4 linked regions of the Elephas maximus indicus genome follow. The protein of the gene in region 1 purifies or fractionates together with the protein of each later gene. This does not show direct contact. Links are inferred from orthologs where the notes say so. Each region holds a gene or a part of one and is shown in the gene's direction. Other genes may lie near its edges. The genes, in order: ACTL6A, VPS72, SMARCD2 and PHF10.

Region 1 (7,080 bases):
TTTTCATAAATGCTAGTGTCATATATAAAATTATGTTATGAAATAACATAATTTTAAGTGTACCTGAATGTTTGTGTCATTTCCTTTAGGACCTGTCTTAACAGATGGATGCTAATGTTCTGAATTTGTATCCTAGATTGCATTAATAACAGTTTTTTTCAACTCTAAACTTAATAAAGGCTGAGACAAAGGACAAGAGCAGTCTTTTTGCAATAACTGCTGTGATTCTATAACCTGAGGACTGGGGAGCCAGTGACAAAAGGAGTAAAGCTGTAGCATCCCAAGTGTCCAGATGCAGCATTACAAGAATGGAAGACCAGTGCCTCCATGAGGCAAAACCAAGTGCTGTCCCTCAGTACATGGAAGACAGTCTGGATGCTTGGATTTTCTAAAGGAGTTTTGAAAGTGCACATGTTTTTGTAGATTTGGATTCAGAGTCAACCACTGAGCATCTACTGTGGGCTAGGTAAGTTAACACACATGCTATTTCAATCTCTTTTGGGTTTAGGTTGACATAACTAATAAGCATTGACTATTTTGATATGTTATGCCCGTGAAATGGAAGTGACAGATAGTAACCTTGAGTAGCATCTATTGTTGTTGTTTTTAAATTTGACTAGCTGTCTGTAGGAGTTCCTGGGTGGTGCAAAGTGAAAGGTTGGAGGTTCGAGTCCACCCCGAGGCACCTTGGAAGAAAAGCCTGGCGATCTACTTCAGAAAAATCAGGCATTGAAAAGCCTGTGGAGCACAGTTCTATTCTGACACACGTGAGGCTTCCTTGAGTTGGGGGGGGGGGGAAACTATCTGTAACATAATGTAGCAGAGTTTACATTAGAGAAAACATACTAGGGTACCCACTCAAATGCACTGCCATTGAGTGATCCCCATAGTGACCCCATGGGGTTTCCAAGACTGTAAATCTCTATGGAAGAGATGTCTTTCTCCCAAGCAGTGGGCTGGAGGTTTCGAACGCCCACCTTTTTGTTATTAATTGCTTTAACACTGTGCTACCAGAGCGCCTTGTGTTAGGCTACAGAGGAGAAATATTAATGCAGGAAAAAAAAGCCTCAGGTATTTCACGTTTGGTAAAGTAGATTCTGCTGGGTTAATACTTTTAATGTATTTTCTACTAATTTTTCTAATTATGAGAATGGAAGAAAACAAGCTGCTATTGCAAAAGTTTCCCCAGCATTGACAATGGTATAACAGCTTGTTTAGCCTGCTGAATGAGTGTCCTTTCTTTTTTTTTTTAATAATTTTTATTGTGCTTTAAGTGAAAGTTTACAAATCAAGTTAGTCTCTCACACAAAAACTTATATACACCTTGCTACATACTCCCAATTACTCTCCCCCTAATGATACAGCCCACTTCCTCCCTCCACTCTCTCTTTTCATATCCGTTTCGCCAGCTTCTAACCCCCTCTACCCTCTCATCTCCCCTCCAGGCAGGAGATACCAACATAGTCCCAAGTGTCCACCTGATCCAAGAAGCTCAATGAGTGTCCTTTCTTAACAGTCACCTGTATCTGCATTAACATGTGATGAGCACTGACACATCAGATGTACCATGAAGAAGTTCATTTCATTTGAAGCTCATTTCAATGGTTAATAAACACAATGAGTTCAGTGATACATCAAGAAAACAGGCTGACCTGAAATTATGAATGGTCTGCTTTCTAATATTTCTCCAAATTACCAAAGAGGGCAAAATCCTTCCTTTAAAATCAAACACATCCAAGCATGACTTAGCAGTCTTCTCTCTAGCTCTCTTCTTGGTACTATCATATCTGAGATTCCCCCTGCCCCCCGCACTGCAGTGTGAAGATGGTGGGAGAAGACAGTCTGAGCATCCCAGGCTTCTCCTCTGCTGCACAAATAAGGTAGGTATCTTATTTCTAGAATATATTCTTTTCCATGCACGGGAGACGATGGAGATAATATTAATAAGAGCAGTATGTATAATCCATTTAAGTTGGTGTGTGTGTGTGTGTGTTAGCTGAGACTCCATGTATAATAGAATAAAATGTTGCCCAGGACCATACCATCTTCATGATTGTTGGCCTGTTTGAGTCCATTGATTCTGCCACTCTATCAGTCCATCTTACTGAGGATTTCCCATGCCTTTGCTGGCTCTCAACTTTACAAACATGATATCCTTCTCCGGTGACTGGACCTAGTATGACGCATTCAAAGTAAGCAAGTTGAAGTCTCAGACAATGTTCTTGATTGATAGAGTTTTTCATTATGAATTACTATGCATTCAAATGCTAAATTGATTAAATGCATTACTAATTTAAAAAACTTACAAATAGTATCTCTTCAATATTTAACTATTAAAGATCAAAGTATCACAATATTTTATAAATCATCAGCTTTATTAGCCAAACACATCATAAAAACAGAGTGGAAGTAGAAGCATTTTGGGGATTTGAGATGCCCCTACAGTGAGCTACAATCATGGGGACCACAGTTAACACAGCGTACCTCGGTGCACCCTCCATTACATGTGTTATCTGCAGGGTTGGCAAACTTCTCCTGAAAAGGGTCTGAGAAAGTATTTTAGGATTAGTGGACCACACTGTCTCTGTTACAACTAGTCAACTCTGCTTTTATGGAGTGAAAGCAGCTATAAGTGAACGAGCTTGTATGTGTTTCACTAAAACGTAGTTTATGGTCACCAAAATTTAAATTTTCACATCATGAAATACTATGCTTAAAAATTTTTTTTGTTGTTTTTTGGTAAACTCTTAAAAATGTAATAACCATTCTTAGCTCTAGTAATAGGTCATACAAAAACAGATGACAGGCTGGGTTTGGCCTTCAGGCGACAGTTAGCAAACCCCTGCATTACCTCATTGGGTTAAATGATGGGTTAAATAATCAGATGTGATGTGAGATAGTCCTATTGTCAAATGAATGGGAGTTTTCTCACTAGCCCTGTTCAGCACCCCAATTCTCATCTCTTTCCCACTCTGCTGGCTCTGAGATTGATGGGGGCTTTATTCAATCGATCCTAAAGAGTAGCGGCTATCTGTCCAAACTCTAGATATACTAACTTAAGAACTGATATTAACCGCAAGGATATGCAACACCGTTAAGTGTCCGAGTTGGACTGGCATGGCCAGATTTTGTAAAGATTAAGCGTCCTGTAGTGTGGTGAAAAGGCAGAGTAACAAGTTGTTGGAGTAATCCAGGGAAGAAGCCACTGTGATCTGGACTGGACCAGACGGGTGGAAACAGGGGACTATGAACAGTCTGGAGATAGATTTAGGATTAGGATTAGGATAGATTTAGGATTAGGTGGTTGCTGGGATGAGGGTTGATTGAAACCTATCTCACAGGATTAAAAATAAAGGATGACAGTATAAAGTGCTACCTAAATTTACTTGTTATGTCTTTCTCCTTTAAATTATTAGCAACCATTTAAAAAATTCCAGGATCCTTTCAGTTCGTTTGATTTACTGATTCCTTGTACCCTAAATATTTTAATTTTTTCAACATAAAAGTTAGTGAAAACTACTTTTTCTAAAAGAAAAAATATTCCTCATTCATCACATTCCAAAGCCAGGAATCACTGCATGAAAACACTTTGAATTTCTAGACTCTACTTCCAGTGGTTGGAGCCCTGGTGGCGCAGTGGTTTAGAGCTCAGCTCCCAAAGGAAAGGTCGACAGTTCGAATCCACCCGCCGGTCCTTGGAAACCCAACGGTAGTTCTGCTCAGTCCATAGGGTCGCTATGGGTCGGAATCGACTCCACGACAACCGGTTTGGTTTTTTTTTTATTTTACGGGTGGTTTGCCTTCCTTTACCCGGTTCCCGTCGCTCCCCGCAGCCCAGCCACACCCCCGGACCCGCCCCCGACACTGCCGTCCAGCCTTCCTCCTCATCCTCCTGCGCCACCACACTCTCCCCGCCCACCCCGGTAAGCCCCGCCCTTCCAGTTCCGCAGCCCAACTCATTCTCTCTTTGCGTCGCTCCCTCCCCTCCCACTCCCCATGGCTGCCTTCGATTGGCTAAACTAGCTGAGCCGCGGCAGGGAAGCAGCATAGGTTCATTCTGAATGGCCAGAGCGTAGCCTGGGCCGCTCGTGTTTGGCTGGCAGGAGGGGCCAGCAAGTGTGGCTGTGCTCCAGGGTGTGCGGACGCTGCTTTGTTGCCTGAGGGGCGTGGCGTTGGAAGTTGAGGGGGTCGGCGTAACGCGTCGTGGGACCTGCAGTTGCAGCCGCTGCGGTTCCTTGGCCGGGTGTCTTGTGGCGTAGGCGTCGCGCCAGAAGCAACCATGAGCGGTGGTGTGTACGGGGGAGGTGAGTGAGTGCGGCCAGAAGGGAGCGCGGCTCCTGGAGTGTGGGGTCCGTGACTGCCGTCCGCATCCCTCCTCGTCGGCCCTTTCGGGTTTCCCACTCGGGACCGGCTCCCCGCCCCATCCCCGCCCTGCGCTCTGCCCGCCCCAGACCCCCGGGCTCGGTGAGCGCCTCGGGCTCGGGCCCTTCCGCGGCCCCTGGAGGGCGCTCGGGCTCGGGCTGCGCAGGAGCTCCGCTCGGGGCCGCCGTTTTCCGGAGTCTCCACAGCCGGCCGCGTCGGGGTGCGTGTGAGCTCGGGCTTGGGAGGTCCGGCAGTTCGCTAGCGTGGAGCCTGAATCGCAGAGCGCGCCGCGACGGGCGGAAGGGCTTGGAGGCGCGGCGGCCGCTCGGGACCAGCCCTCCGTCCGCGATGCCTCCCGCCTTCAGTAGCTCCCGGCGCTTTGTTGACTGGAGTCCCTGACTGGGACCCCTGACTGGGGGCCCTGACTGGAGTCCCCAGAGTTCCTCGTGGGCGGGTTTGTTTGGGATTACTTGCGGAACACGTGTGATTGAAGGGTGTCGCAGAGAGCTTGCCGCCATCCCGCGTGCCTTTTGGTTTGTTTCTGTGGGTAGGCTGTGGTGTGGGGGAAGATCACAGCGGGCCTGGGACCGACACAGACCTGCGCGGTAATATCATCCGCCCCATTTGTTCGGCCCTTGGGGCGAGTCACCTCTCCACTTGAGGCTCCTCCTTTATGGAATGAGAACGATCATACTTACCTGAGGGGGTGGTCGTGAAGGTAAACTGAGATAATGCGTATCCATATTACTCAGTGAGGTTCATGGACCAGCAGTATAAGCATCACGTGGGAGCTTTGTAGAAATGCAGAATCTTAGGCCTTCCTCTAAATCTACTGAATCAGATCCTGTATTTTTGTAAGATTCCCGGGTGATTTGAAGCACTGATGTATATGGTTCACATTTTGCATTGTGTTTGATGAGTTAGAGAACAAGGAGACAAATCCAAAGTATGGGCATTGTTACTGTTTCTAGTAGGGATTTCTTTTCTGAAGATGGCATTTTTTGGGTAGGGGGTAAACAAAAACAAAGCTTCAAAGTTCTTAGTTTTTGGAGTGTAGTTTCAGAGTCTCTTCTGAGGTAGTATAGGGACCCTTGCCCCCTCTCTCCCTTTTTGTTTATGTCCTTGGTTTTCATTTCTGAATGTAAGAGTCAGTAGTTTCCCACTATTATTTTGGAGAGGTCCTAGAGGATCTTCATGATTTACGTCTTCCCAGTCTAAAGGTGCAATCCTGACAGAAAAACAGCGTCTATGTGCCCTGTGCCTCGTGGAGGCTGTTGATGTTATTACGACTTTAGGTTCACTGATCCAAGAAGTATTTCCTGACAGGGTGTCTCAGCTATCTATTGCTCCTATAACAGAAATACCACAAGTGGGTGACTTTAACAGAAATTTATTTTCTCACAGTTTAGAAGACTAGAAGTCTGAATTCAGGGCACCGGCTCTAGGGGAAGGTTTTCTTTCTGTTGACTCTGGGGGAACGTCCTTGTCATCAGTCTTCCCCTGGTCTAGGAGCTTCTCAGCACAGGAACCCGGGGTCCAAAGGACCCCTTCCTCTCCTGGTGTGAGGTCCATCTCCTCTCTGCTTGATTCTCTCTTTTATATCTCAAAAGAGATTGACTCAAGATATAACCTAATCCTGTAGATTGAGTCCTGCCTCATTAACATAACTGCCTCTAATCCCGTCTCATCAGAAATGAAATGGAACACATAATGGTTGATGTCCTAGGCGTTGTTAGTGAGTTGAAATGGACTGGTATTGGCCATTTTGAATAGGACGATCGTATGGCTGACTATGCCAGTAACAACAACTTGAAGAGGAATGGTGTCAAATTCATCATCAAAAAGAACATTTCAAGATATATCCTGAATTAAACCCTACCAGTCGTAGGATAATATCCATTCGCCTACAAGAAAGGCCAGTTAATACGACTATTATTCAAATTTATGCACCAACCACTAATGCCAAAGGTGAATAAATTGAAGATTTTTACCAACTTCTGCAGTCTGAAATTGATCAAACGTGCAATCAAGATGCCTTGATAATTACTGGTGATTGGAATGCAAAAGTTGGAAATGAAGAAGGATTGGTAGTTAGAATATACGGCCTTGGTGGTGGAAGTGATGCCGGAGATCATGTGATAGAATTTTGAAAGACCACTGACTTTTTCATTGCATGTACCAATTTTCAGCAACATAAATGGCAGCTATACACGTGGACCTCGCCAGATGGAATATATAGGAATCAGATCGACTGTATCTGTAGAAAGAGACAATGGAGAAGCTCAATATCATCAGTCAGAACAAGGCCAGGAACCGACTGTGGAACAGAACATCAGTTGCTCATATGCAAGTTCAACTTGAAGCAAGTTAAAGAAAATTAAAACAAATCCATGAGAGCCAAAGTATGACCTTGAGTATATCCCAGCTGAATTTAGAGATCATCTCAAGAATAGATTTGATGCATTGAACGCTGATGACCAAAGACCAGACATCAAGAACATCATACATGAGGAAAACAAAAGGTCATTAAAAAGACTGAAAAGAGAAAGACCAAAATGAATGTCAGAAGAGACTCTGAAACTTGCTCTTGAACGTGGAGTAGCTAAAGCAAATGAAAGAGATGATGAAGAAAGTGAGCTGAACAGAAGATTTTAAAGGGTGGCTGGAGAAGACAAAGTATTTTAATAAAGTGTGCAAAGATCTGGAGTTAGAAAGCCA
Region 2 (7,625 bases), on another chromosome or scaffold:
TTCAGTCTTCCTTACTCACTGCTCAGCTTTTGCATGCGTATGAGGCTATTGAAAACACCACGGCTTGGGTGAGGTGCACCCTAGTATTCACAGTGACATCTTCCCTTTCTTTGCTAATGGAAGACCATTAGACCATATCAAAACCTTTGCGTGATCCAAACCCTTAGCCTCCAACTCTCCATTCTCTGTGCTCCACAGGTCATAGAGATGAAACAGAGAAACTGCCCAATTTCCATCGTCTAGTCTTCGCACTAACCCACTCCACTAACCCACTCCAGTTTTAACAAAGTACCTTGGAGGTTCTGAACCCTGGTGGTGATTCAGAAACCTGTCTGAACAGATTGTAAACTACTGGACAGCAGGAACTGTTCGGTTTACTGTTGCATTTCCGGCTCCTCATCATGATTGTGTACATCGCAGGGGCTCAATAATTAATGGTTGAATGAATCAATGAAGATAAATGAGGAAAAAAAAAACACGTATAAGTTTTATAGCCCTCAAGATGGGGCCTAGTTATTCTATCCAGATATTCCGGGTTTTTGAAGGAATCTAGGACCCGAATGTCCATAGAATATCCCCTTCTATCTATCCTTCCCCTACTAGATCCAAGATTGTTTCCCTGCTGCCACCTGCTGGATTATTCTTCCTCTTTGGGGTATGAAAGTAGACAACTACTTCAAAGGATTGGATTGACATTGGTAACTTCACAGCAGTGGAATTGTGCAGTGTTGAAGTATTTTATGATGCCTAATTCTTTTTTTTTTTTAATTCTATACCCCCCACCCAACTAAACAGTACAGGGACTGTGTGGGGGCACACTGCCTAGCTCAGGATTGGGCTCATAGTGGGTGTTCAATATTTATTGATTATCTCCGTTTCCATATAAAGCATGGAGTTGCTACCGTTTCCTGAGTTATTTTAGCTATCAGCTGGTATAGAGGTAAAGCTGTTTCTGATTTAAAAATTGGAAAAAGACCAATAAAGCCCTAAGTTACCAGGGCAGGAGGTCAAACAAAGGGATCTGATCTGTCACTTGGATGAAGGGGTGAATTTGACTTCAGCCATCCTGAAAGAAGACACCCCTGTTTGGTGGCTTCTTAAGAGTCTTAGTTTCTGCTTTATGTACCAGAAAATGGTTACTATTAGATACCTACCACCTTGTATTATGTCAGTTTGTGTACCTATTTGTCTCCCTAATAGGACTATGAACCCTTCAGGACAAAGATGACGTCAATTTTAATATCTCAAACATCTGGAACAGAGTAGGTACCCAATACATACCTCCTGAATATATGAATGGATGAAGGCAAAATTCAAGAAGTGGAGCTAGGGGTATTTAAGAAGTAGGCATCTCACGCCCACCCCCAAACCTTGTCTCTGTCCCCACTCCCACTCCATCCCCAGGGTGCCCTCTGAGTCATAGAGGGCAGTAACATTCCTGGCATAGCAAAACTGGGGTGACGTGGCAGGGTGTGGATGCAGGGGCAGGGCGGGACAAGTTGGCTTGGTGCCCCCAAGGAAGTGAAAAAGGGAGTTCACCAATATATACTTTAGGAAAAGGCGCAATGTGGTGGCCACAAAATATGGCCAGGAAGACATACACACAAACACACAGCTTTAGAAAAGCTTCCTTTATGTCTTAGTACAGTTCCTAAAGTCAGAATGGAATGGCTGGTGGCTGGCAAAAGCAACACAGAGGCAAGAATAAGAGCACAGGTACTAATTCATTCCATTTGTAATATGCTAATTCCATCATTCAATGTACATTATTTAGCCACAACTGCCCCAGGCAGTATGAAAGCTCCTGGCATAAGAGATGAAGATAAAGTCCCTGCCCTCAAAAAGATCATAAACTAATAAAGGAGACAGACACCCAAATCGTTACAACAAAAGGTCTCATCATGGAGTTATGTACAAGTGCTATGGTTTGACAACTACATTTTCAGGATGAAAAATGGGAACAGAAGTAGACACAGAATTCTGAAAATGTCACAAAATAAATTGAAACTATTCCAGAGACTCCAGGAGGCATGATCGCCATAGTTATGGGAACTGTGCCTGGAACGAGAGGAATGGATGTGAGGAAAGACTTGACTGCCCTATGTTGTTGCCGTCGAGTCGGTTTCGACTCATAGCGACCCTATGCACAACAAAACAAAACACTGCCTGGTCCTGCGCCATTCTCACAATCGTTGTTACGTTGCAGCCACTGTGTCAGTCCACCTCGTTGAGGGTCTTCCTCTTTTCCGCTGACCCCGTACTTTACCAAGTATGATGTCCTTCTTTAGGGACTGATCCCTCCTGACAACACATCCAAAGTATGTAAGACGCAGTCTCACCATCCATGCTTCTAATAAGCATTCTGGTTGTACTTCTTCCAAGACAGACTTGTTCATTCTTTTGGCAGTCCACGGTATAGTCAACATTCTTCACCAACACCGCAATTCAAAGGCATCAATTTTTCTTTGGTCTTCCTTATTCATTGGTTCAGCTTACACATGTATATGATGAGATTGAAAATACCATGGCTTGGGTCAGGCGCACCTTAGTCTTCAGGGTGACACCTTTGCTTTTCAACATTTTAAAGAGGTCCTTTGCAGCAGATTTACGCAATGCAATGCGTCTTTTGATTTCTTGACTACTGCTTCCATGGCTGTTGATTGTGGATCCAAGTAAAATGAAATCCTTGACAACTTCGATCTTTTCTCCCTTTATTATGATGTTGCTCATTGGTCCAGTTGTGAGGATTTTTGTTTTCTTTATGTTGAGGTGCAATCCATACTGAACGGTGTGGTCTTTGATCTTCATTAGTAAGTGCTTCAAGTCCTCTTCACTTTCAGCAAGCAAGGTTGTATCATCTGCATAACACAGGTTGTTAATGAGTCTTCCTCCAAACCTGATGACCTGTTCTTCATTTAGTCCAGCTTCTCGGATTATTTGCTCAGCATACAGATTGAATAGGTATGGTGAAAGAATACAACCCTGATGCACCCTTTCTTGACTTTAAACCAATCAGTATCCCCTTATTCTGTCTGAACAACTGCCTCTTGATCTATGTATGTAAAGGTTCCTCATGAGCACAATTAAGTGTTCTGGAATTCCCATTCTTCTCAATGTTATCCATAATCTATTATGACCCACACAGTCGAATGCCTTTTTATAGTCAATAAAACACACGTAAACATCCTTCTGGTATTCTCTGCTTTCAGCCAGGATCCATCTGACATCAGCAATGATATCCCTGGTTCCACGTCCTCTTCTGAAATCAGCCTGAATTTCTGGCAGTCCCCTGTGGATATACTGCTGCAGCCGTTTTTGAATGATCTTCAGTAAAATTCTGCTTGCGTGTAATGTTAATGATATTGTTCTATAATTTCCACATTTGGTTGGATCGCCTTTCTTGGGAACAGGCATAAATATGGATCTCTTCCAGTCAGTTGGCCAGGAAGTTGTCTTCCATATTTCTTGGCATAGACGAGTGAACACCTCCAGTGCTTCATCTGTTTGTTGAAACATCTCAATTGATATTCCACCAATTCCTGGAGCCCTGTTTTTCGCCAATGCCTTCACAGCAACTTGGACTTCTTCCTTCAGTACTCCTGACTCCCCTATAGAATAAGAATGTTTCCAGGTAGACAAGAAAGGACAGGAATTTTTTTAAATAATTTTTATTGTGTTTTAAGTGAAAGTTTACAAATCAAGTCAGTCTGTCATATAAAAATTTATACACCTTTCTGTACACTCCTAATTGCTCTCCGCCTAATGAGACAGCACACTTCTTCCCTCCACCGTCTGTCTTCGTGTCCGTTCGGGCAGCTTCTGGCCCCCTCTGCCCTCTCATCTCCTCTCCAGACAGGAGATACCAACACGGTCTCATGTGTAGGACAGGGATTCTAAGAAGAAGAAGCTTGGAGGTATAACAGAGAATTGGGTTCAAGGGAGTGATGCTGGATATACATGGAGATGTGGCAGAAGTGAGATTAAAAAAGCAAGAAGAGGGTAAGTTAGGAAGGCTCTTGAATGGCACATTAATAGTAGTGATCATCTACTAAACATCTACCATGTGCGGACTAAAATTGTGCTAATCAGTTAATAAGTATATTTTTTAATCTTCACAACAGCCTTAAAAGGTATTATTAGCCCCATTTTACAGATGAGGAAATGAGATTCAAAGAGGTAAGGTCACACAGCTGGAAGACCTTAAAGCTCACATTCGAACTCAGGTTTAGTAGGCTCTAAAACTGTGCTCTTAATCACAATACTGTTCTGCCTCGAGGAGCTTAGACTCTATCCTGTGGAAGATGGAGAGCCATTGAAGGTTTTGAGCAGAAGAGTGGCAAAGTCACGTACAAGTTTTTAGAAAGTTTCTTACTAGCAGCAGAGCGGAAAACGGACTGGAGCAGGGGGACAATGACCTCTTCTAAAAGGAAACTGTTCGACTCGCAAATTCTGGACTTAACGGTAGTAAGGCTCTCAGCGCCAGGGATGGCATGCTTCCCACAGCCGAAGCCCCTGCGGGATAAGGCAGGGGTAGCAGAGGCTCTGCGCAGTAGTGGGCGGGGCTGAAGAGTAAAGAAGGCTGGAGGCCCTCGACGCTCTGCTGCTTCTGCCTGTAGACGCCCCGCTTCCGTTGCATCGGTCACACGCAGGTAGTGGTGTCAAGCGCCGAGCTCCGAGACCCGAGCTGGGTGAGGGGCCGCAGGCGGCGGCGTACTCTCGGTGCGCGGTATGAGTTTGGCTGGGGGCCGAGCCCCGCGGAAGACCGCCGGGAACCGGCTTTCTGGGCTTCTAGAGGCCGAGGAGGAAGATGAGTTCTACCAGACGACTTATGGGGGTTTCACAGAGGCAAGAGCCGGGCCCAGGTAGAGGGAGGGGAGAAAACGAAAAGAGGAGTCCTGCCAAAGAAGAAGGGAACGGGAATAGAGAGGAGTCCTGGACGCAGATACTCGAGACGGGGTGAGAGAGTCTGGGGATACACAGTGGAGTCCTAGAGAACAGAGCCCTGGACAGGGCTGAAGGGAGTCAGGGGTGGAGAGGCTCTCTGGAGGGAGACAGCAGAGTGTGGGAGAAACCTACTGTGTATTTCTCTAGCTGCATCTCTCACCCCATGCAAGGCACATCGTAGTCATTCGGTATATACTCGTTGGCCAGCTGCCTGGTTATTTAACTGACATGTAGAAAGTAATCTCTCCAAAAGATAGAGGGGCTTAGCACATTCCTTTTTTCAGGCTTCAAGTCTCACTGTAAATGTCTCCTTAGGTAACTCTTCTTTGACCTGAAAAAGTGTCCCCATTTGTTGCATTCATAGGACATATTTCAATTTGTAATTGGATTTGGTTTACTTATTTGTTTATATTTTCCTATTAGGTTGTAAGCTCTACAAGTTTAGAGATAGTCTGTTTTGCTCAACAGTATATGTCTAATGTCACTCCTTAGATTTTTATTGACCAAATCCATTTATTAAATATCATTGAGCACCCAGAGCATCCCAGGCACTGTAATAGCCTCTAAGAAAACAGAGTATTAAAAACACTGTCCTTAACATTTCATACCTGCATGGGAGAACTAGTTGGGTTAACAGGCAGTTAAAATATTGTGTGATAAGCAGTAAAATAAGAGGTAAACATAGGATGCTATGGTAACCCATGGGAGCCAGAGTTGTGGTCAGCATAGCCATCCAAGGAGAGATGATGTTTAAGCTGAAGACAGTATTAAGAGTAGACTTTGGCTGGTTGAAGAGCTGTAGGGCTGGGAGCTGGGGGAGGGGACCAATCAGTACACTGGAGGGGGTGAGGAAGAGTGTGTAAAAGCACTGAGATTCAGGTCTTGTCTGGGAACCCCCAAGTCTACCCCATTTTCCAGAGGATGAAGAAGAATAAAGATTGGAAAGGCTGGAGGAAATAGGCATGGGCCAGATCATATAGGGGGCATTGTGAGCCAAATTAAGGAGTTTTTTTCTTTAGAGTGAGACGCTTCATCCAAGTTCCATAGTCAGATTTATACTTTAGAAAGAGTACTCTGTGTGAGGGGAATAGTTTGAAGGGGACAAGACTAGAAACAAAGAAACCAGATTAGGCAGTTGCAAAAATCCAGGCAAGAGATAATAGTGGTCTAAACTGAAGTTGTGGCTGTGGGAGGGAGAAACATGGACAGGAGGATTCAAGAGAAAGTAAGGAAATAGAATCCATAGACTTAGGGACTGATTAGGAGTCATACTTACACAGCCTTAACCAAGTAGTTTAAAATAGAACTTTCTCATCCCTCCTCCAAGGCCAATTCCCCTCAGCCCATTTTCCTATTCCTGTCATTTTATGAGTAGTTATTTAATATGTACCCTTCATGCTTCCAAAAAGGATTTAAGAAGGCTTATTATATAAACAAAAAGTAGGAACAGTAAAAATAGAGACAGATCAGATAATTGTACCAGGAGCCTATGCTAAAATGGTAATAGCAGTTGATATTAAATTTAGCTATGAGCTTCTTGACAGCTAAACCCTGAATTTCTCTCTTTCTTTTTTTTTTTTAATAAGAAAGAAGCATGTAAGTACTTCCATCAAAAGAGACAAACTTACTCAGCATTAAATTCCAGGAAAAATTTATCATTCCGTTTTTTATAAAGTATATTAAGTAATAGTGGTTTTATGGGTATAAAAACATTTTCTTATCTAGTCATGCCTATTAATGACCGTCATTAAAAACCAAAAGAGTAATAGTAAACTCATGATTTAGTGAAAGCACTTCGGTTGAGCACTAAGCTAATGTGTAGTTGAACTACTACCCTCTAGTGATACGACTTAATACTGGTTAGAGCTGAGAGGATTAATGTGCTCTGAGGCCGTCTTTCACAAACTTCAGTTGGGAGGAAATGATGGTCATCACTGCAAGACTGAACTCTGGCCAGCTTGGAGTGTCACCCATCAGTGTTATTTGCTTGCTTTGGTAGCATGTGTACCAAGATTAGCCCATCAATCTGTACCACTGATTGAAGAGAGAGCCACATGTTTGAGGTGCTGCCCAGCCCAGTTGAGTTCCCTTCTCCCAAGTGCTTTTTTCTCTTCCCTTTCCGTGGTGGCTCCCACTCTAGCCCTAACCTGCATCATCTCAGGCTTAGGCTGTACTCCAAGCTCTACTTCAGCCCATCTAACCACCTCCAGAGCTTTTTGAAACACTCCTTTGTCACACTGTTTTCGCCTCTCCCAAATCTTCCACATTCCCCATTACCCATAGTAGTAGCACCCAACTGTTTGTCTCTCCCAGCACACCTGAGAAATGAGACATTTCTCTCAGTGATGTTAGTTTACCTCAACAGTGGTAATAGTGCTAGGACAAATAAGGGGAGGAAGAAGATTGAGAATCATTGGCCTGCATATTAAAGTCATGCCTGGCATATAAGCTTCTCTATAGACTGAATGCAGCTGTCTTTTCAAATCGTAAAATACTGAAGGGCAATCAGTTAATGTTGGAAGATGGTTGACTGTGCCAGATTCAAAGGCCTTCAGCTAGGAAGGCTTTTTGCCAGAGACAAACTCTCTGCTCTACTTGGGTCTAAATCCTTATTCCATAAACATGCTTTACAAATTCCTGCTTCTGTACCTTTGTTTCTGTTATTCCATCCGCTCATGATT
Region 3 (8,000 bases), on another chromosome or scaffold:
CTGAGATCAGAAGAACTATATGGTGCCTGGCTACCACTACCGACTGCTCTGGCTAGGATAGCAAAAGAGAGTCCCAAACAGAGCTGGAGGAAAAATTATAGAACAAAAAATTAAATTCACAAAAAAGACCAGACTTACTGGTCTGACAGAGACTGGAGGAACCCCAAGACTATGGCCCTAAGACAAGCTCTGAATTGGAACTGAAGCCGTTCCTGGAGACCACCTGTCAGCCAAACCATAGACAGGCCCGTAAAATAAACAGTAACACCTGACAGGAATGTGCTCCTTAGAATAATCAATTATAGGAGATCAAAAGAGGGACATTTGCCCAAAAGCAAAGATGAGAAGGCAGGAAGGGGTAGAAAATCAGGACGAAAGGAAACAGAGAAACTAGGACGGAAATGGGGAGAGCGCTGACATTATGTAGGGAATAAAACCAATGTCATGGAACACTTCATGTTCAAACTATCGAATGAGGAACTAATTTGCTCTGTAAACTTTTACCTAATGCACAATAAAACATTTTTCTCAATACTTTATTAAATTAAATAGTTCCGTTCCAATCTCTCTGTAGATGCAACAGGATCAAGACGGAAAGGTTATGGGAAAGCCCTTTCTCTAGACTGGAAGGCCTCAATAAAAGTTGTTGAAACGGATCTCCAAAAAGTGGGCAGTGAGCAGACTAAGTATGGAGGGAAGAAGGGGAAGAGAGAAAAAGGCATTCCTTGCTGAGGGAACAAAGGCATGGAATGATGCCTCCATGACTGCAATGTCTAATAACGAGCTGCATAATTAAGTCCTATGAGGGTGGGTGTGTCTCTTCCCCCATCTCTATCTATTCTTTAGCCTTAACTCAGTGCTTTTTTCACAAGATCTTGAATTGTCCTGAGGTGAGACAGCAGATTCCATTTGCCTATTAGGTAACCACTAATAGCATCTCCTTCAAACCAAAGGGCTCCAGGAAACCTTGTCTGATTAATCAGGACCTACTAATCAACTTATTTTTCTCTGATTCCGGATGACACTAGCTTGAACACTATTTATTTGCAAGTAATAACAGACTCAGCTACCAACAAGAGGTAATAAATTTTGCGTAGTGGTTAAGTGCCTAGGTTGTGGATGCTAGAGCATTTATATGACATTCTGGCAAAGGCAACGCTACAGAGACAAATCAGATCAGTGGTTGCCAAGGGCTGCGGATGGGGATAGGGGACTCTATTGCCCTCAAAGGGATATGAAGGAACTTGCAATGATGGAAATGTCATTTATCTTGATTGTGATGGTAGTTATATGACTGTACTCATTTCTTCAAACTTAAAAAAACTACACCTAAAAAGGTTGATCTTACCATGTGTAAATTTTGCATGTGAAAGTTGAACAATGAATAAGGAAGACCAAGGAAGAATTGATGCCTTTGAATTATGGTGTTGTGAAGAATATTGAATATACCATGGATTGCCAGAAGAACGAACAAGTCTGTCTTGGAAGAAGTACGGCCAGAATGTTCCTTAGAAACAAGGATGGCAAGACTTCATCTTCATACTTTTGACATGTTATCAAGAGGGAACTGTTCCTGGAAAAGGACATTATGCTTGGTAAAGCGAGGGTTAGCAAAAAAGAGGAAGACCGTCTACCTGATGAATTGACACGGTGGCTGCAATAGTGGGCTCAAACATAGCAACGATTGTGAGGATGGCGCAGGATGAGGCAGTGTTTTGTTCTTTTGAACACAGACAGGGTCACTATGAACTGGAACCAACTCGATGGCACCTGACAACAACAACACATCATATATAGTATGTATCTCATATACATTGTAAGGATTAAAAAGGTAATATGTGCAGGCACATGGTAAATGCTTAACAAATGTTAGCTATTTTTTTATTTTCAGAATTGACTTGACAGCAACAGGTTTGGTTTTGGGTTATTTTCTGCCTACCCTACGGGAAATCTTTCTTAATCTCTATCATGCCTTAGATATCGGTATTTTCCCCCTAATATCTTGAAGATATTTTCATCACAATAATTAAGTTATTCTTGACATTATCTGTTTATCATTCTCTCCCACTACACTCATAGCTCATTTATTCATTCCTAAATATGAGTTGAATAGGTTACAACAGTGATGAAGAGAGGCACAGTTCCTGCCTTCACAGAGTTTATATTTTAGTGGGGGAACCAGATCAGACAGTAAGCTAACCAAAAAACCCATTGCTGTTGAACTGATTCTGACTCATAGCAACCCTACAGGACAGCAGAACTGCCCCATAGGGTTTCCAAGGCTGTAATCTTTATGGAAGCAGACTGCCACATCTTTCTCCCGTGGGTTCTAACTACCAACCTTTCGGCAAGCAGCTGAAATCACTATGCCACCAGGGCTACTTGACAATAAATTGCGTACACATAAGTAAGTAATTACATATTGTGATAATCACTTGACAGGAAGTAAAGGAAGTAAGGGAGACAGTGGAAAAGCTAGAATGAGCTGGGGGCAGAAGGCTCTGAGGCGGGAAGGGGCTTGCAGTTTGAAAAACTGCAGGGAGACCATCTTCTTGTTGGCCCTTAGAAAGCCAATGGCTGAGATTTAAAATGTGCCAAAGAGGTAAGCAAGTGCCATGTCCTTGTAGAACACTTATATGTCATGAAAGGGAGGGTGACATTCAATCTAACAGCAATGATGAGCTGGGAAGGATATTAAACGAGGGATTAGTAGGGTCTGGTTTACACTGAACTGTTTTATCTGTTTTTAAGTGCACATACTAGCAGCCTCTTTTCCAAAGCAGTAGTTCTCTAGAAGGGGGGTTGTATCAGAAATAACTGGAAGGCTTATTCTTAAAATACAGTACAGGGAGTCCCCCCTTCCTTACTGGATTTGAAGAAGGGGGCTGGTAGGAATATTCTTGGAACAGCTCCCCTGGCGATTTTGATTCTCTACCACCCCTACCACTTCCTTGAGAACTCCTGCTGAAGGAGCTTAGAAGGGTTGAAATGGATGTTAACTGCCTTATCATGACCTCTTTACCCATCTTACAGGTGAGGGGAAGAGACCACTGCTCAATGAATGTAACAATTCTGGTGACCTGTCCCTAGACTGCCAAAGCCCTGGCGATGCAGTGTTTCAGCACAGTGGTTCAGCCTGGCTGCTAACTGAAAGGCTGGTGGTTCGAACCCACCTGTCGCTCCGTGAGAGAGATGTGGCAGTCTGTTTCCATAAAGACTTACAGCCTTGGAAACCCACTGGCGTAGTTCTACTCTGTCTTTATGGTTGCTATGAGTCAGAATCAATTTGACAGCGATGAGCTTTTTTTGGTCCCTAGACTGGCAGGTAAACTGACTTTTGAGGAGGAAGAGGAAACTGAGAGGACCAAGAGGTAGCAAAGCAGCAGCAATAGCAGGGTTTATCACTGGAAGAAAGATACAAGGAGGTACATATCAGGAAAACTAATTTCTAAAAAGGACTGGAGGGCTGTGCTATAAACAAGCTCTAGGGTGCTATGGTACAAGGAGGTAAGCAATCACTTGCTTGGGGATGAAAACATAAAGCAGAGGATTAGGGCCAAATAGGCCAAACAGTCTTTTACTTTGGCCACTCAAAGTGTGGTCTGAGTAGCAACAGCATCGCTTGAGAATTTGTTAGAAATACAGAATCTTGGGCCCCACTCCAGACCTTGTTGTTGTTAGATGCCATCAAGTTGATTTTGACTTATGGCAACCCCATGTGACAGAGTAGAACTGCTCCATAGGGTTTCCTAGGCTGTAATTTTTAGGCGTCAGGAGAAAGATGTGGCAGTCAGCTTCCCTAAAGATTAAAACCAAAAACCAAACCCATTGCTGACCAGTCAATCCAGACTCATAGTGACCCTACAGGACAGAGTAGAACTGCCCCATAAGGTTTCCAAGGAGCAGCTGGTGGATTTGAACTGCTGACCTTCTGGTTAGCAGCTGAGCCCTTAACCACTGCACCACCAAGGCTCCTCTCTAAAGATTACAGCCTTGGAAACCCTACGGGGCAATTCTACACTGTCCTATATGGTGGCTATAAGTCGGAATCGACTGGACAGCAATGGATTTGGGTTTTTGGTTAATCTTTACAGGAGCAGATTGCCAGGTCCCTCTCCCAGAGCCACTGAGTAAGTTCAAACCACCAACCTTTCAGGTAGCAGCCAAGTACTTAAAACTGTTGCACCATCAGGGCTATTGAATCATAATCAACATTTTTAATGTGAGCCTTAGGTGTCCTGTATGCTCATAAAAGCTTGTGAAGCACTGGTCTGTATTAGGGGAGGAGACCTCAGATCACCTAAGGTAAGCTACCTGGATTTTTGAAAAATGAAGTGCTATAACTACTGGAGAAACACCTTATTTAACTGCAGGGAGATTTTTCATAGTCCAAATTTTCTTCACCTAGAAAAACTTCATGTGAAGTCAAGTACTGGGCTTCCTTAAAGTGAGGCAAAGCCATGTTAAAAATGCACGAGAAGAATTTAGCAATTAGCCAAGTCGACCCTTAACACAGCTGGGTCGGGTCTGGAACCGCTGATGTCCTTTGGCAGCTCTGAGCCACCAGGAAGAGCTTTATAAGAAAGCCGAGTTGGCAGCTGTTCTGCCCCAGAGAGCAGCCCTTATTTGTCTTTAATGCTGAAAATGTAAAAAGGATATCTGACAAAACTACGTAAAGTCTGGCGGCTACACCAGAGAGAGAGCAGCAACTACCCCAGTCAGTGTGGCGGCCCCATGTAACCTTCGACTTCTGACCCCGAGCCTTGCTTGGCGTTTCCGGGCTAAGCTTCCTCTCCCGCCCCTCCGGCGAAGGGCCGGCCCTAGCATTGTGGGCGGGGCCTGGGGGGGGCCGGCAGTTAGGGGCGGTGCCTGCTAGGGGCGGGTCTCGCGAGGGGCGGGATTTGAGGAGGCATCCTAGCATTGGGCAGCTAGAGGTAGGCGGGGCCTACTGCAGGGCTGGGTTGGGCGGGGCAGGGAGCTAGTTGCAGCCTCTGGGTAAGCTGGGCGCCGGCGGCTCAACTTGCCGCGGCTCGGGGGCGGCGGGCGGGCGCGTAGCAGATCCCGGATCCGGAATTTGCACGACAGGAGCGGAATCAGGATTGGCCCTAGCCCAAACCGGGTCAGTGAGCAACTCCCGAACTTGGATTAGGAAATCCCGGAACCCGGATCAGCAAACCCCAGAACTCGGATTGGCAGAACCCGGAATTTAGATCGGAAAGTCCCGGAGCACGGAGCACGGACCGGATTCGTCGCGAAGCCCGGAGTCCGGATCGCGACACCGCCGGACGGGACGGAGCGATGTCGGGTCGTGGCGCGGGCGGGTTCCCGCTGCCCCCGCTGAGCCCCGGCGGCAGCGCCGTGGCCGCGGCCCTGGGGGCGCCACCTCCCCCCGCGGGACCCGGCATGCTGCCCGGACCGGCGCTCAGGGGACCAGGGCCGGCTGGAGGCGTGGGGGGCCCCGCGGCCGCCGCCTTCCGCCCCATGGGGCCCGCGGGGCCCGCAGCGCCGTACCAGGTAAGGCGGTGGCTGGGCGGGCGGAGCCGCGAGGGCGCCCCGGGCAGGGACAGAGCGGGCGCGCGGGTAGAGGCCCTGGGAGTGCCTCCTGGGCAGAGGGCATAGTCCCTGCACGGGGTCTCATGGGATATGTGGAAGACAAAACCAGGGACCCTCAGGGTGCAGCCGGGAGGTGGTGGAGGAGTTGGGGGAAAAGGGTAAGAGGGTCTCTGGGGTGGAGGGTTTGAAGCAGTTCGGAGGGTCTGGGGGTCCCGTGGGGGCTGGGATTCTGAGTGAGATATAGGAGTCGTAGGAGCTAGTGAATGTGTGGCTCTGAGAAATCTGGCGTAGATCCTGGGTTGGGGTCCTGGGAAGTGACGAGAAAGTTTTGGAAAAGGGGAGCCTCAAGGGCCCTCACTGAGAAATCAGGGTTTTGCTGCATTGACCTCGTCCCACCCCAAGTCTACCCTGGTTTTTCTAGTCCGGAACTGGGAGAGTTTAGCATGCCCTGTCCTGTTGGCTGGCTGCGTTCTTAGATGGCTCCCAGCTGCTTAAGAGGAAGAAGAGCCTGGCTTCCCAGAGCGTGGGAGGCTGAGGACAGAGCAAGGGGATTCCACTTAATGGGGTGACTGAGTTAGAGCAGAGACCGTGGTGGTCAGGCTGAGGAAGAAAAGCCTAGCCCCGTGACAGACCGTTCCGGCCGTTCTCTTCTTGGCTTTGTGCCTGTTGTCATAGTGTCCAGGAGTTGATTAGTCTGGAGGAGCAGGGAAGCTCCACTGAGCCCTGCTGGTCTGGGGTGGAAGGAGCTGGGAGAGTCACTTCGAAGGACCCTACTGTCCTGACCCCTTTGGAGTTTGTGAGGAGAGCTCCAAAGGCTTTGAGAGGCACAGACTGGATCCTCAGGGTCAGTGTGTGAGGAACTCTGCCTGACCCTGCTGGTGGGACTCAACAGTCCCCTTGTCCCGTCCGTTGTTTCAGGTGGCCCCAGAATGCTTGAGAATTGTCCGTCCTTTTTACCCCTTCTCCATTTTCATTTAGCCTTAAGGGTCTCATACCACCATATCCCAGCCCGTGTGCCCCAGCATTTGGCACAGGCTTCTTACTAATCTCCCAAGGTCTACACTGGGACTTCCTTTGACCCCTCCTCATGTCACCTGGGAGAGGTCCTGGAAGTGGTCCCTCATGGGGTAGGATGTGTGCAGAGCCGTCACTTTCTAAAGAAATAGTTAACGGGGGACAGTGATTTTTTTTTTTCCTCTTATGCTCTGTCTCTTTCTCTCCTCTCCCAAAAGAAAACAGAAGGTGTGAATATGGACAGAGATTGACCTGGCCCCAAGGCCTCCAGCTGGAGTCCATCTTTCCCACCTTGCCCTCCCCTTTGGGGATTCATGGGCCCAAGTGTCCCTGAGGGGTCTCCACATGGACCATTATAGCCCTTGGGCCTGTTAGCTGAGACCTGGACTGTGAGTCTCTCTGTGAGCCTTAGGCCTGGGGAGACCTGAAATCGGAGAGGAGACTGTTCAGCTCCCTTGGCATGCACCCCATGGGAAATGTGCCCTTAGGAAAGCCCCTTCTAGGATTGATCCCACAAGGTTTTGTGGGGAGTGGCCGTGGTACTGCAGCAAGGCCGAGGTGGCTGGCCGAGTGGCCTGGGCTTTATGGTGGGGAACTAGGGGAAGGCACCGACCCTCTGCTTCCCAAGGCTTCCCATCCCATCCGTAGATGTGGAGAGGGAGAATCCAGCTCACTTTGGTGAGTTTGGAAGTAGGAGGATCTGCTTGCCCTCTTTCTAAGGGGGGTGGTTTGACTCCCGGATCTGAGGAGCAAGAGCAGTTCCTGTCTATGAGGGCTCGTTAGGTGAGGTGGAAGAGCAGACATTCGAGGGCCTGAGCTAGGCAAATTAGGGGAGCCAACGGAAAAGAGGGGCGTGATGAACCAGCTCCCTCTAGACACTGGTTCGAACAGTCAGCGGAGGAGCTTCAAAACACCAGAAAATCAGAAGTGCACACATACGCGTATGCTCCCACCTGTGCACGCACGCAGGCACCACGAATTGCTGGGTTTATTCTGGAGAATTTAGAATACTTGCTGCTCATGGGGAATATGTTCTCCTCTAACTGAGGCCCAGCCACCAGGAGTGTCGGGGCCACAGGCTTGGGGCAGTGAAGAACGTGCTCTCTTGAGGTCTGGATTCCTCAGCTGGAGGCCCACAGCATCAGGCCCAGCCTTCTGCCCCTGCTGTCCTGGTGGTGGTGGTGGTGGTGGTGGAGCCAAGCTTACAATATGGCCTGTGCTGGGCCAAAGAGGGGAGGTTACTGCATGCTTCTGAGGGTCAGGGGACTGAGTCAAGCCCACCTAGCTGGGCTGCAGGCTGCATAATCTGGAATGCCAAGAGCTGAGAGTTCTGGGCTTTTTTTTTTTTTTTTTTTAATTCCTGGGTTATTTTTTTGAAGGGGGAGGAGTTACTGATGCTTCAAAGGCTAGCTGTGGAGCTTGGCAGGGCCAAG
Region 4 (7,376 bases), about 210 Mb from region 1:
GTGGATACATAATCCTTTGCCTCCATTTGCTGCAATTGCCTGTAGTCCCCTGGCTTATTCCTTCTCATTACTTGAAGACTTGTGTTACTGGATCACAATCTTCTTTACCCAACTCCTGCCACCATTCTTAGTGACTTAAGTATCCACATAGAAGACCCATTTAATAAGGCAGTACTTGCTTTTCAGTGTTCTGATATGCATAAATTTTAGTTACCATCATTTAGCTAAATAACACTAGTCCCCCAACAACATGGCCCAAATCTCAGTTGCCATGGTGTATTAACTGTGAGAAACTGCATAAGGTAAACTTCACAGCTGGCTCTTTGATCCACAGATCACATATGGAGATAACAGATGTGTGTCATGCTCCTCTTTTGAAGTCCGTCAGGTTGGTCGCTGCGTGTCTGCACTCAGGGCTTCAGTTTGCACAAACAGTAGAGTGTGTAGTTATGCTGCCTCCTCATCTCCCAGTGATATACCCACTTGATGTTTTATTAAAAATGGGTAATCCAAAGGGGGAACTGGCCAAAAAGGTCAAAATGTACAGCAAAGAAACAAAAAGTGATAAAGTTGGAAGGGAAATTTGGATGTGATTAGGAGATTTCAAAATGAGGACAGCAAAGCAAAGACAGGATGAGATCTAGGCCTGTGTGAAGGTAATGTAGGAACATCGGGAAAAAGTGCAGTGAATATAAAAAACAAGGTAACGTTGCTTCGGTATTTTTTAGCTTAATTGCACTAGGAACAGAAAGCTGTTCACAATTGAAATGGAGACTTTCTTCTACCTTGGCTTGAAGACTGCATTAATAATAATAATAATAAATACCAGACAGTTTGATTAGCACTCAGGACAAAGTGTGGAAATCAGTTGTCCCACTGAAAGAAAACAGTAATTATAAAGAGACTGAACCTTTTACTGCCAGTGAAGGCCGGTCTTGTTTCAGAAGTCAGCATGATTGATTCATGTCAGGCTATCTGGTAAGCTGCTAGCGCAGGTGATGACACTGCAGGCGTCTGCACCCAGAGCTCGCAGGAGAGTCATGACAAAAGGGGACCATATCCACATGGAGCAACTCCACATTGAGGAAACTCTGGGAGGCATTCACGACATTGAAAATACAAATGAGAACTTGTTGGAAGCTGACCCAAACTTAGAAAAGAGTATGACAATTTATCAAGGTATAGGAAAGATAAGTTATAGAATGAGAAGGCAAGCAAGGTTCACATTACTCTTTTTTTTTTAAACAAAGAACTCTCAATGTTTTTGCTGTTTTAAATTACAAACATACTAAATAAATACTAGCTTTACAACTTTTTTCATTTCCCTATACATTTAAAAGAAGTCCCTGGGTAGCACAGATGGTTTGTACTCGACTGCTAACCTACAGGCTGGTGGTTCAAACCCATCATGCAGCGCCTTGAAAGGCCTGGTGATCTACTTCTGAAAAATTAGCCATTGGAAACTCTATGGTGCACGGTTGTACTCTGATTCACATGGGTCTCCACAATTCACTGACAGCAACTAGCTAAAATAATAGGTCACTCAGAATTGCCTCCTTAGTGCTCTTCCCTGTCTTGCACATTGGTAGTCTGAGTATTTGTTGAAATGAAATGTTTTATATTCGTATTTGGTCTAGAGACAGAATAGCTAAGAAGAGTAGGGCAAAATAACTGAATAATTTAACATTAAGCTCTTTGCACGGAAATCTGACCGAGTCCCCTGAACAGTGAAGAGAATTTTGGGGCGAGGTGGGGCCGGATGGAGTGGGTGGAAGGCTGCATCTGCGACCTTCACTCTCAGCTTCTTGCCTGGACTTCAGGCCGTTTTCCACCGTGGGCTCCTGGAATAGGGCGGGGAGCAGGTCTGACTGAGGTTGTGGGAGAAAGCGAAGTCTGAATTAGGAGAAGTTCCGGAGCCTGAAGTTGTTGGTGATGCCGTCTCTGATTTGATGCAAGTGAGAAGGCCCGGGAAGGGTGGGCTGGGAGGGTAAATGAGGGTGGTTTGTATTAACGTGATGGACAAAAAATCATTCATGTCTCTCAAGACTTTTGGCTGCTGCGTGTAGGCAAAAATATGAATGAGAGAGAAGCCATGTTGTACTTTAAATCCAGTTGCCCGGACTAACGTCTCATCTACACTCTGACAGTCAAGCGCCTGCTGAGAGGTCAGCTTTGACTCATTTCTGGCAGTTCCGGAGACAGTCACAGTTGTCTCCCACGTGTTAAGGTTGAGTCCCCAACATTCTGCTTTTCTAGAGAAGTCCTGGAAGTGCCTCGTGAGGCCGGAGGACTAGGGGTGGTAATAGATTCAGTCCGCAACGGAGAGCCGCCGTTTACTCTCAACGGGCTTGCGCAGTGCGCTTTGCAGTGACCCTGACGAGCCACCCGTGAGAGCCGGGCGCGCGGAGCCAGGGCCGGGCAGCGCTGAGGGCGTGTGTGCTCGCGCCCGCCGCTCCCGGACGCCGCCCCCGCTCCCGCCGCTCCCGGACGCCGCGTGCGCACGCCGAGCCTGGGTGGGCGCGCGCTGGGCCGCACGCGGGAGCGCCTCAGCCGCCGGCCGCCAGGGCTGCTCCCGGGTCTGCGTGAAGCGGGCGGCGAGAACAAAGACGGCGCGGGAGGCGGCTGCGGGCCGGTCGCGAGGAGAGGCGGGGCAGCGCTAGGACCGGGGACTGCGGGGCCGGGGCCTGAGGGCACCGTGGGACCGGTGACGGCTCGTTCCCGGGTCCGAGCACTGACGGGAGCGGCGCGGCTCCGCGGGCGCTGACGGGCGGACAATAGGGAGAGAGTAACGTGGGGAGGGGTCGGTCCCGCGGGCTGCGGTGGCGCGGAGAGGGGGCAACCGGCTGAGGAGAGAGGCGGGCCGGAAGTGCGCCGGGACGCAGAGCAGCGGCAAGAGGGGGCGGGGCCTAGGAGCGCGCCCGCCTTGAGGGGTGCGGGAAGCGCAGCGCCGGGTCCGGCTGAGGGTGCGGAACTGGGGGCGGGGCTAGGTGGAGGGGCGGGGCCTCGGGGGTGGTCCGTGAGGGGAAGGTCCCGGCCGCGAGGGGGCCGGGCTGAGGGGAGGGTCCAGGTTGAGATGCCCGGCCGTGAGGGGAGGGTCTGGGACGGGCGGTGGGGCGGAGCCGTGGGGGGGATACGTGAGGGGGCTCGGCTGAGGGGATAGTGCGGGCTGAGGGGAGGGTCCGTGAGGGAAGGTCCGGGCCGAGGGGAGGGTCCGTGATTGGAAGGTTCCGGCGGCGAGGAGGACGGGCTGAGGGCAGGCTCCGTGACGGGGGGGTCCGGGCTGAGGGGACGGTGCGGGCCGAGGGGGTGTGGGCTGAGGGGAGGGTTCGTGAGGGGAGGGCTCGGGCGACGAGGAGGGCAGGCTGAGGGGAGGCTCCGTGACGGCGGGGTCCGGGCTGAGGGGAGGGTGCGGGCCGAGGGGAGGGTCCGGCCTGAGGGGACGGCCCGGGCCGCGAGGGGGCCGGGCCGAGGGGAGGGTCCGGGCTGACGGGAGGGTCTGTGAGGGGAGGGCCCGGGCCGTGAGGGGGCCGGGCCGAGGGGTGGGTCCGGGCTGACCGGAGGGTCCGGGCTGAGGGGAGGGTCTGTGAGGGGAGGGTCTGTGAGGGGAGGGTCTGTGAGGGGAGGGCCCGGGCCGCGAGGGGACCGGGCCGAGGGGTGGGTCTGGGCCGACCGGAGGGTTCGGGCTGAGGGGAGGATCTGTGAGGGGAGGGCCCGGGCCGTGAGGGGGCCGGGCCGAGGGGTGGGTCCGGGCTGATCGGAGGGTCCGGGCTGAGGGGGGGGTCTGTGAGGGGAGGGTCTGTGAGGGGAGGGCCTGGGCCGCGAGGGGGCCGGGCCGAGGGGTGGGTCTGGGCCGACCGGAGGGTCTGGGCTGAGGGGAGGGTGCGGGCCGAGGGGAGGGTCTGTGAGGGGAGGGTCCGGGCCGAGGGGAGGGTCTGGGCTGAGGGGAGGGTCCGGGCTGAGGGGAGGGTCCGGGCTGCCAGGAGCTTCCGGGCCGAGGGAGGGCCTGCGTCTGGCGGGCGGGGCGGGGCTCGGCGGCCGCGTTGCCGGCAGGGCGGTGGGAGGGGAGGGTGACGTGAGGAGGGGGCCGAGAGCGTCCGCCATCGCTCGCCGGCTCCGCGTCGCCTCCTGCTTCTCCGGCCCTCTCGGCGGCGGCACTCGGCGCGGCGCTGGCGGCGGCCATGGCGGTGGCGGCGGCCATGGCGGCGGCGGGCCGCGGGGCGCGCGGCGGCAGGGGCCGGCCCCCGGGCGGCGGGCGGGCGGGGGTGGCCGAGGGGGCGGGGCCCGGGGCGCGGCGGGCTCTCCGCGCGGCGGCGGCAGCGGCGGCGGCGGCAGCTGCCGGGACCAGGCGGCGGCGGCGGCGACGGCGGCGGCGCGGGGCGCTCGGGCTGATGGCGGCGGCGGCCGGCCCCGGGTCGGCGCTGTCCCCGCGCCTGTGCGACGGCGACCCGTCCGCCCCCGGAGCGCAGTCCCCAAAGGTGAGGAGGCGGCGGGAGGCGGGCGGCGGGCGGGTCCCGCGGCGGCCGGGCGGAGCTGTGGGCGCCGCCAGCCCGAGGCCGCGGCCGGTCCGAGGGGAGCCGCGGCCGGTCCGAGGGGCGCCGCCGCCGGGAGTTTCCGGAGAAGTTCTGTTCCTCCGCGCCCTCACGGCGCCCCGGCCCCGGACGTGCTCGGCTGCCCGGCGGCGGTTCACCCTGGCGCCTTCCCTGAAAACGGGGCGGTCCGGGAGTCAGGCCCCGGCGGCGGGCTCCGTGGGCGGCAGGTTCGCGCGTGGTTTCCTCTTTTCAAGGAGCGCGAAACGGCGAGACGCGGACGGGGGAATTGGAAGCCTTTTCCCAAAACTTTGCGGCCATTTCCGTATCTGAGACTGTAAGCTCAGTTCCTGAAAAGCTTACTCAGACTTTATTAGAGAAGCGTTGTGCTTCCAGGTAGAAACGAAACTCTTCATAAATAAAAGTCTATTTCGTATTAGTGTGGGATAGTGTGATGTTCTCAAAACATCATTCTGTGAATTTTTTCCGAGATACTTGACCCCTTATTAAAACGAGGGTTGTAAACAGCCCTGGAAACAGGACGTTTCTTTAGTGAACTTAGTAGAATGGCTCAACTAGCACGGCCGGGACGCTGGCGCCGACGGAGACACCTTGTGGTCGCACAAGGCTGTCCTGTGCCGGCCGTCTTCCTGCTCCTTGTCCTCTGGGGGACCTGGTGTTTCAGGTGTCCCGGCCAGTGAACCTAAGTAGACCAGGTGTCTGTCCGCACACCACTGTCGTCCTTGCAGCATCTCATGCAAGGCTGGCATGTGCTGGGCTCGGCCAGGATCCAGCCTGCAGGACGGGGTACCTTATCGAAGGTTGGAGCCACCTGTAACCACGAAACGTAAATGTCTGTTTGGGACGTTTGGGAGTTTTTGAAAACATAGGTCAAGGTTTCCAGTAAACTCTTAGGACTTAATTCTATTCCATAGTATGTTGGGGAAGACATTGCTGGCATTGTCTTGAAAAAGGTGAGCTAACCGAATTCTTACATAATAATCCATTTGCCTAGGATAGCAAATTGCAAACTCTTTATATATGGAGTTGTGGTTTCAGCTTTTTGAGGACTTATTTTAACTTTTATTATTGAGTATCTCAATTTTTTAGCTAAAGAGAAATATTTTTAAGCAGATTGACTTAAAAATCCTTAAAATGTTTACAAGCAAGTCAAAAAATAAGGATACTTTGACTGTTGAACTCTAGAGGTATTGAATATGAAATGTTGCAGTTGTAATACTACTTAATTGTAGTTGATTAGTAGTTTTTTTTAGTAGTTATTTCAATGTAAAATTTCTGAGAGTAGCTTTAGACTATTCTCCAGGTCCTACCTGGCTGATGGTCTTAATAAGAATATACAGATCTCTTTAGTTGAATGCTTACTTTATAAGGACTGAAAAACAGTATTTTGTACATTTTACTGAGTGGGGAAGGATGTGAGTAAATTCCTAACAGCTGGAGACGTTTGAGATATTTGAATAATTACCATTATAATCATAATATTAACTAACATTTATTGAACATTTAAGCTGAGGCTAAGGGAGCTCAGCTGCTGACCAAAAGATCAACAGTTCGAATTCACCAACCACTCCTTTAAAACCCTATAGGGCAGTTCTACTCTGTCCTATAAGGTCCCTGTGAGTCAGAATCGACTTGATGGCAGTGGGTTTGGTTCATTATTTCCTAGGCATTGCTCTATGTGCTTTCCATGCGTTAACTCATTTAATCCTTGCGTTAACCACATGAAATGGGCACTGTTACCATCTTGACTTTACAGATAAGGAGAGGCCCCTAAAGGATGAGCACGCAAGCTCTACAGAGGGGCAGCATCCGGTGATTCCATGCGTGATCACTACCCCATACTGCATCTTTGTTTTCCTTTGTAGGGTTCCTTTCATTTTAGTATGTAGCAAGAGGCCTGTGGTATGTTAACAAAATTGTATTAGTATTAGAAAGTTACAGTAATTTGATTTTTAAAAAATCTGTGTTTTTAGATCTTGTTAAGTGCCTTCTAGCTGGCTCTGACTCATAGTGGCCTTGTGTACAACAGAACGAAACACTGCCTGGTTCTGTGCCATCCTCACAATCATTGTTATGCTTGAGGCCATTGTTACAGCCACAGTGTCAATCCATCTCCTTGAAAGTCTTCCCCTTTTTTATTGACAGTCTACTTTTCCAAGCATGATGTCCTTCTCCAGGGACTGATCTCTTCTGAATAACTTGTCCAAAGTATGTGAGACGAAGTCTTGCCATCCTTGCTTCCAAGAAGCATTCTGGCGGTACTTCTTCCAAGATAGGTTTGTTTGTTCTTTTGGCAGTTCATGGTATATTCAATATTCTTTGCCAACACTATGATTCAAAGGCATCAATTCCTCTTTGGTCTTCCTTATTTGTTATCCAGCTTTCACGTGCATATGAGGCGATTGGAAACACCATGGCTTACCCCTTGACTAGTATGTGAATAAATCAATTTCCTAATGTCTAATTCCTCATTTCATTTCCTTAATGGAAATGTTGAACTTAAACAGTTAAAAACCAGTTACCCTGGAGTTGGTTGCCACTCATCGTGACTCCATGCGTGCCAGAAGAGAACTGTGCCCCACAGGGTTTTCAGTGACTGATTTTTTGGAAGTAAATCACCAGGCCTTTCTTCTGAGGCAGCTCTGGGTGAATTCAAATCTCCAGCCTTTCAGTTATCAGCAGAACAGGTTAACTGTTTACACCACCTTTGATATTCTTGTCACATAAAGGATTGCATTAAAAGTTTTTAAATCTCTCCTTTTTGGGGGATGTGAGTATGGCTGTACAGATTGATGACTTTTTAGGGTATATTTTTGCTAAATTTTTGAA

Evidence for each region.
Region 2: the proteins of ACTL6A (region 1) and VPS72 purify together in Homo sapiens (affinity purification with mass spectrometry; 3 studies listed by BioGRID and IntAct, with this or other methods). This does not show direct contact. The link is inferred for Elephas maximus indicus from reciprocal best matches to the Homo sapiens genes ACTL6A and VPS72.
Region 3: the proteins of ACTL6A (region 1) and SMARCD2 fractionate together in Homo sapiens (co-fractionation; 5 studies listed by BioGRID and IntAct, with this or other methods). This does not show direct contact. The link is inferred for Elephas maximus indicus from reciprocal best matches to the Homo sapiens genes ACTL6A and SMARCD2.
Region 4: the proteins of ACTL6A (region 1) and PHF10 purify together in Homo sapiens (affinity purification with mass spectrometry; 3 studies listed by BioGRID and IntAct, with this or other methods). This does not show direct contact. The link is inferred for Elephas maximus indicus from reciprocal best matches to the Homo sapiens genes ACTL6A and PHF10.

The regions. Positions count from the first base shown.
Region 1 is NC_064819.1:35,368,406-35,375,485, reverse strand, and holds the start of ACTL6A (actin-like protein 6A), read left to right. Parts: upstream 1-4,079; 5' UTR 4,080-4,279; coding exon 4,280-4,304; intron 4,305-4,333; exon of another isoform or gene 4,334-4,582; intron 4,583-7,080.
Region 2 is NC_064821.1:185,214,252-185,221,876, reverse strand, and holds the start of VPS72 (vacuolar protein sorting-associated protein 72 homolog), read left to right. Parts: upstream 1-4,624; 5' UTR 4,625-4,728; coding exon 4,729-4,845; intron 4,846-7,625. UniProt on the Homo sapiens protein: Deposition-and-exchange histone chaperone specific for H2AZ1, specifically chaperones H2AZ1 and deposits it into nucleosomes.
Region 3 is NC_064837.1:55,038,737-55,046,736, reverse strand, and holds the start of SMARCD2 (SWI/SNF-related matrix-associated actin-dependent regulator of chromatin subfamily D member 2), read left to right. Parts: upstream 1-4,994; 5' UTR 4,995-5,298; coding exon 5,299-5,514; intron 5,515-8,000. UniProt on the Homo sapiens protein: Involved in transcriptional activation and repression of select genes by chromatin remodeling (alteration of DNA-nucleosome topology).
Region 4 is NC_064819.1:242,847,826-242,855,201, reverse strand, and holds the start of PHF10 (PHD finger protein 10), read left to right. Parts: upstream 1-4,365; 5' UTR 4,366-4,388; coding exon 4,389-4,475; intron 4,476-7,376. UniProt on the Homo sapiens protein: Involved in transcription activity regulation by chromatin remodeling. Belongs to the neural progenitors-specific chromatin remodeling complex (npBAF complex) and is required for the proliferation of neural progenitors.